2 linked regions of the Ovis aries genome follow. The protein of the gene in region 2 purifies or fractionates together with the protein of the main gene of each other region. This does not show direct contact. Links are inferred from orthologs where the notes say so. Each region holds a gene or a part of one and is shown on either strand. Other genes may lie near its edges.

Region 1 (3,649 bases), on a different chromosome or scaffold from region 2:
AGGATGACTGACTGAGGCTGCCTCAGTTTGGCTGTGGCCCAGGGTATTGAGATTCTTTTTTCTTGTGACAGAAGGATGACTTTCTTGACTAGCCAACTGGGACATCATGGCTGAAAGCTGAGGCTTTACTGGTCAGGGAGCTGAAGTAGAGCTAGTGCCCTGGGTCACTCTGGCAACTTCCCTGTGAAGTCAGGTGTTCAGGGACTTACACTGAGGGATGATCTGGGTCCTGGGATAACATCTTTTTCTAAGTGCAAAATATGATGATTTTCCACGTACTCATCTGCTTCCTATCAGGTCTCCGAGTGAGTAGAACAGAACACTATGTACTTAGAGAAAAGGCTAATTTTGTTTGACTCTCGGTCCTTTTCTGCAGATGGAGTTTTGAGGTAAAGCCTCTCTCTTAGATGAAATGCCCTTTGGGAGACTTGGCCAGGGCTGTCAGGGATGTGGTAGATGGGGAGCACAGAAGAGTGGACACAGTTTTGCCCCTTGTTGCTGGAGGGACCTAGGCTGAAGGCTGGGCAGGACTGGGACTCGGCAGCAGGGAGACTAGAGCAGATATGGAGCCTGTAATCATTCCCACCTGTTCCAGGGCTCTGCCGTTATCATGAGGTCCTTGCAGGGGTAACCACCCTTTCTTTCTTCTTTTCCCCAACAAACTTCTCTAAATCCAAATGATTATAGAATTAGTCAAATGGTTTACCCACTCACTCCAGTATTTGTGCCTGGAGAACTCCATGGACAGAGGAGCCTGGTAGGCTACATTTCATGGGGTTGCATAGAGTCAGAGATGACTGAGTGACTAACTTGGCAAAAGCAGAGTTAAGGAAAGACATGGAGATTTATCTCTTTTCCTAATCCACTCCGTTGAGATTCTAAGCTATTTGTAGCGACTTTCTTGCAAGTCCTATAAATAACTTAGCATTTCCCAGCAGAGAATAAGGACTTCTGCAAAGGCAAATAATGTCCTGGCAAAAGAGGGTGAAACCAAACCTACTGGTTTTAAATAGTGTTTGCATCGTGTGGTACTGGCATGTTTGCTGGGATAACATACGTGTAATCTTTTATTTGGTTGGTTGTGTTCTTTCAGCATATAATCCCCAATGCCAAGTGTACCCCATCCTTGTCCCAGGGTCAAGCAAAGTTTTTGCAGTCTGTGGAACCGTCCGATGTCCAAGGCAGCTCAAGTACAGGGTTTGGGGGCTAAATGCAGACTTCCTTGTGCTAATGGTTTCCATTTAGTCTGTCTCTCGAGTCTACCACGTTTCCATCTCCATTCTGAAGAAAAGCAGGATTCTTTTAAAAAGATCACTAATTACTCTGCTAAAGGGACCCTTCTTGAATTAAATCCTCAGAGTGAGCTAATGACTGATCTCTTCCTCAGTTGCCTCTCTGTTGGAATTATGGGGAAGTCTAATGTGGTCCTCAGAGGCCCTGAATCATTTAATGTTCCAGCTCTACCTTTCAGGCAGCCATCTCCCGGGATCATCTTGCAGTTGCAAGACCTCACAGGGCTCAGCCGGGCTCCTGCTGCAGTTCTCTGTGCAGAGCTAAGCTAGCCTAAGTTTGGCCTTTGTCACTTGCATGATAAAAGACCAGCTTTGGTCTGGGGTGTTCAGGCTGGGATCTGGAGGCATTGGGTCTGTTTAGAACAAACTATAATTAACATAGGGCACAATATGGTCTTTCAGGAATTAGCTGTCTAAGAGGCAGGAGTGGGGCCGAGCCTCTGCTTCCAGTAACAATGCCCATTGGAGATGCTCAGGATGGTCTTTCAACAGAGGCACATTGATTGACTGATGCACTTCTTGCCTTGAAGCTTGGCGTGTTTTCAGGCACCGTGGAAGAGAGATAATCCCTGCCAATCCCACTTGGGGTTGGTAACTTGAAACAGAAGGAAGTCAAAGGGAGCAATCAGTCTGTTTTATTTCTAAAAGAGGTTCTACCTGAGATAGGAGAAGGGAGCCTCTTGTGCTTGTGTAGCTGGGCTACCTCCAGCTGGCCATCCTTTGGTCTTATCCTAGAGAGGTATGGCCCTCCCTTTAGTTCTCTTTTACCCCAGATTCGTCCAGGATGGGGCCTATAGGTTTGTAAGGCAGAGCCCTTTAGCTTCACATTGTCTGCTTTAAGGTTTATGCTGACATCCCTGTGTTTTGTCTTTTGCAGGTTGGGTGGCCCAGACCCCTTGGACTATGTTAGCATGTACAGGAATGTGGGGAGCCCCTCTGCCAACATCCCTGAGCACTGGCACTACATCAGCTTTGGCCTGAGCGATCTCTATGGTGACAACAGAGTCCATGAGTAAGTGTGTACTCTTGCCTTCTATCTCCCTCTTCCCTAGCCTTGAGCCTTATTTCTGAGTTTTGTTTTGCCAAAAGTGTTACTTTCATTTTAGGTTTGAGGGATTCATTAACAAAAGAACCACTCATTACATACAAATAAATGATTTCAACTTTTAATAGATTAACTTAATTTCAATATACAGTCACTAGAAGGAAAAGAAATAGAAACAATAGAGAGAAGTAACAGCGTGTACATCACCAAATTGAGCCGACACCTACATCCAGAGTTGAACAGTGCTGGGAAGTCCCGAATGATAGCAATCTGGAGTCCCAGTTGGGAAAGGGTACCGAGCAGTGCATCCACCCCACAGGTGAGACTTCATATTGCACTTCTGGGGGCTCCTGCTTATAATCCCAGGCCGTAAACTGATATCATCGTCAGTTTGGGTGCAAAAAGGCAGCTCTGATTTAATTTTTACAGTGGGGTTTGTTTCACCTTGTGAGTCACAAGACTTCTTAGACCCCAGGGGTCTGCTAGGCCTTTAGGGGCTTACGAGATCCAAGACCCACTCCCTTTCTTACCTAAAGTGCCGCCTGACTGACTGTGCCTGTCGCTTGGATCCTGGGCAGTGTCCATGCAGGTCAGAAGCAGGTCAGAGGTCTGCCCTCCTGCTTCCGAAGCCTGCACAAGACTTCCTCTATTTTGATTTCCCTAGCCAAGTTTTCCTGAGCAGAGAGGATCACGTCATCGTCCCTTGAGTTTGGCATTTCTCACGTGGAACATCTGGGTTTCTGCCCTCTGCCTGTAGCCACTTGTGCCGATGTGGTCCAGATCAGGACCTGAGCTGTACTCATCTGGTGCAGGAAAGTGTCGATGAGAGAGAATTCCAAAACTGTTAGGTTTCTCCAAGCTTGTTGTGATGTTTGAGCTCAGAGTACAGGCAGCATAGCTGTGACCCAAAAGCTGAGTTGATTCCTCTAGGTCTACTTCCTTTTCCCCCCTCTGCCGCTGCTAAATCACTTCAGTCGTGTCTGACTCTGTGCGACCCCATAGACGGCAGCCTACCAGGCTCCCTCGTCCCTGGGATTCTCCAGACAAGAACACTGGAGTGGGTTGCCATTTCCTTCTCCATTTGCCCCCTCTAGATTATTATAAAAATTTTAAAAGAAGCAAAGTTGAAAGAGTTTTACAGTGAACAATCAATCATATACCGCTCCCTGGATTTTACCATTAATATTTTATTCTACTTGCTGTATCATGAATATGTACATCTCTGTTTCTCTGTGGATGTTACCTACTTCCTTTTTACCTCTAGTTATCTGTGCTCAGATCAGCTGCAGTACATTTTTTATCCTAGTCTATC
Region 2 (3,649 bases):
TCTGAAATTGAGCTGCAGGTATTGCTTGTATATTTTTGAGATTAATTCTTTGTCCGTTGCTTCATTTGCTATTATTTTCTCCCATTCTGAAAGCTGTCTTTTCACCTTGTTTATAGTTTCCTTCATTGTACAAATCTTTTAAGTTTAATTAGGTCCCATTTGTTTATTTTTGCTTTTATTTCCATTACTCTGGGAGGTAGGTCATAGAAGATCCTGCTGTGATTTATGTCAGAGAGTGTTTTGCCTATGTTTTCCTCTAGGAGTTTTATAGTTTCTGGTCTTATGTTTAGATCTTTAATCCTTTCTGAGTTTATTTTTTTGTATGGTGTTAGAAATTGTTCTAGTTTCATTCTTTTACAAGTGGTTGACTTTTACAAGTTTTACAAGTTTACTTTTACAAGTTTTCCCACCACCACTTGTTAAAGAGATTGTCTTTTCTCCATTGTATATTCTTGCCTTTTTTGTCAAAGATAAGGTGTCCATAGGTGTGTGGATTTAGCTCTGGGCTTTCTATTTTGTTCCATTGATCTATATTTCTGTCTTTGTGCCAGTAGCATACTGTCTTGATGACTGTGGCTTTGTAGTAGAGCCTGAAGTCAGGCAGGTTGATTCCTCCAGTTCCATTCTTCTTTCTCAAGATTGCTTTGGCTATTTGAGGTTTTTGTATTTCCATACAAATTGTGAAATTATTCGTTCTAGTTCTTTATTTCCATACAAATTGTTAAATTATTTGTTCTAGTCCTGTGAAAAATACCATTGGTGGCTTGATAGAAATTATATTGAATCTATAGATTGCTTTGGGTAGTATACTCATTTTCACTATATTGATTCTTCCAATCCATGACCATGGTATATTTTTCCATCTGTTTGTGTCCTCTTTGATTTCTTTCATCAGTGTTTTATAGTTTTCTATATATAGGTCTTTTGTTTCTTTAGGTAGATATATTCCTAAGTATTTTATTCTTTTCATTGCAATGGTGAATGGAATTGTTTCCTTAATTTCTCTTTCTGTTTTCTCATTGTTAGTGTATAAGAATGCAAGGGATTTCTGTGTGTTAATTTTATATCCTACAACATTACTATATTCATTGATTAGCTCTAGTAATTTTCTGGTGGAGTCTTTAGGGTTTTCTGTGTAGAGGATCATGTCATCTGCAAACAGTGAGAGTTTTACTTCGTCTTTTCCAAACTGGATTCATTTTATTTCTTCTTCTGCTCTGATTGCTGTGGCCAAAACTTCCAAAACTATATTGAATAGTAGTGGTGAGAGTGGGCACCCTTTTCTTTTTCCTGACTTTAGGGGAAATGCTTTCAATTTCTCACCATTGAGGGTAATGTTTGCTGTGGGTTTGTCATATATAGCTTTTATTATGTTGAGGTATGTTCCTTCTATTCCTGCTTTCTGGAGAGTTTTTATCATAAATGGATGTTTAATTTTGTCAAAGGCTTTCTCTGCATCTATTGAGATAATCATATAGTTTTTATCTTTCAGTTTGTTATGTGGTGGTGTATTACATTGATTGATTTGCAGATATTGAAGAATCCTTGCATCCCTGGGATAAAGCCCACTTGGTCATGATGAATGATCTTTTTAATATGTTGTTGGATTCTGTTTGCTAGAATTTTGTTAAGGATTTTTGCATCTATGTTCATCAGTGATATTGACCTGTAGTTTTCTTTTTTTGTGGCATCTTTGTCAGATTTTGGTATTAGGGTGATGGTGGCCTCATAGAATGAGCTTGGAAGTTTACCTTCCTTTGCAATTTTCTGAAAGAGTTTGAGTAGGATAGGTGTTAGCTCTTCTCTAAATTTTTGGTAGAATTCAGCTGTAAAGCCATCTGGTCCTCATCCTGATATTAGATTCTATTATTTCCTTTTCCCTTGCATTCTGCTTATTTTGCTGTTTTTCTCCCCCCATTAACCTCTTTTAAGCCTGAATGATAGTTTTCCTCTTTCACTCCACAGATTGAAAAAAAACTTTTTTTTAAGTTTTCTTTTTTTCCCATGAAGGAAGTTCCAAAAAGCAAGCTTGAATTTGCCTACATGGGAAACCATTTACATAGCATTTACATTGTATTAGGTATTATAAGCAGGCTTCCAAGGTAGCATAGTGGTAAAAAGTCCACCTGTCAATGCAGGAGATGCAGGAGATGTGGGTTTGACCCTGGGTCAGGAAGATCCCTTGGAGGAGGGCATGGCAATCCACTCCAGTATTCTTGCCTGGAAAATCCATGGACAGAGGAACCTGTCAGACTACAGTCCACAGGGTTGCAAAGAGTCAGAAACGACTGAAGTGACTTAGCATGCATGCATGAGTGTGCGTGTGCATGCACACACATGCACACACACATATTATAAGCAATCTGGAAATGATTTAAAATATACAAGAGGGAATTCCCTGGGTTAACCACTCTGCAGTTCAACTGCATGGGGCATAGATTTGATCTCTGGTCAGGAAACTAAGATTTCACATGCTGTGCAGCATGGTAAATAAATAAATAAATAAAATAAATGTACAGAAGGATGTTCATAGAATATACTACATGATTTTAAATAAGGGACTTGAGCACCCCTAGATTTTGGTATCTGTGGGGGTCCTGGAACCAGCCTCTCACAGATACCTCACAGTTGTCTCAAGGGACAACTATACACTCTTGCTTCTTAGTACTTTTCACCTAGGCTAACTTTTTTGGCTTGTTATCTTCAGCTTTGTTGGGATTCTTAAATCTTGATAGTCAGGGTCTTAGGATCCCATAGAGAAGCTATCATATGACGAGAGGAATTAAGCTTGCATTTGCTTTTTTCTACAAGTATTGTCATATATGATGATCAGGTTGAGAATTTGGCTGGAGTTAAAACATCTTAGAGATGGAACATCATGGAGTCTGAGGAGAAGGTGTTAATGAGGAAGGGAGGACAGGTTCCTTACCTGGGGCATTGTTTCTCAAACTTAAGTGTTTCTAGGAATCATCTGGGCATCTTGTTAGAGTGCAAATTTTAATTCATCAGGTTTGGGAAGAAGCCTAACATCTGGGATTCTGCATTTCTAACCATCTCCCAGGGGAGGTTCACAGTGCTGGCCTGCAGACACACTTCAAGGAATAAGAACTATGGGGTTTCATGTTTCCAAACAGCCACCTCTGAACTGGAGCTCCCTGTATCGCTCCTCGTCATTGCCAGACATCTTGAACAGTCCAAGTCTGAAGCAGGTGGTAAAATTCAAGGACAGCACAATACCAGATAAAGTAAAAAAGAAATATTGTTCAAACCACAAAGAGCTCAGAAAGGTAAGACTTTTTTTTCTTTTTTTTTTGTCAGAAACTTTTTAAAAAGACAGTGTCTTTAATCTTTATCTCATCTTCTCCACCTTTCTGGGTTGGGGGGTTGCTTTGGCATAGCTTTTGGCCTTGTACTTTTACCTTTATCTCCTCTTTCCATTTTCCTTTTCTACATCTGCACCCATATATAGTATTTAATAATAAATATGTTATATTATAATTTTGGAAATGATATCATTGTATTGTCTTCCCAACCACCTTTTTTAAGATCTGAGAGAATACAAGGGAACTCTGATTGAGAAGGATATTTATTGCTGTTTTATAGGCATTTGGACAGAAATAACATCATAGAGCACACTGGTTTGCTGGAA

What was found. The genes of interacting proteins can lie anywhere in the genome.
Region 1: the proteins of CDC25C (region 2) and SUFU purify together in Homo sapiens (affinity purification with mass spectrometry; 4 studies listed by BioGRID and IntAct, counting the BioPlex papers as one, with this or other methods). This does not show direct contact. The link is inferred for Ovis aries from reciprocal best matches to the Homo sapiens genes CDC25C and SUFU.

What each region holds. Positions count from the first base shown.
Region 1 is NC_056075.1:22,883,226-22,886,874, forward strand, and holds part of SUFU (suppressor of fused homolog), read left to right. Parts: intron 1-2,169; coding exon 2,170-2,304; intron 2,305-3,649. UniProt on the Homo sapiens protein: Negative regulator in the hedgehog/smoothened signaling pathway. Down-regulates GLI1-mediated transactivation of target genes. Down-regulates GLI2-mediated transactivation of target genes. Part of a corepressor complex that acts on DNA-bound GLI1.
Region 2 is NC_056058.1:47,371,142-47,374,790, reverse strand, and holds part of CDC25C (M-phase inducer phosphatase 3), read left to right. Parts: intron 1-3,134; coding exon 3,135-3,287; intron 3,288-3,649. UniProt on the Homo sapiens protein: Functions as a dosage-dependent inducer in mitotic control. Tyrosine protein phosphatase required for progression of the cell cycle. When phosphorylated, highly effective in activating G2 cells into prophase.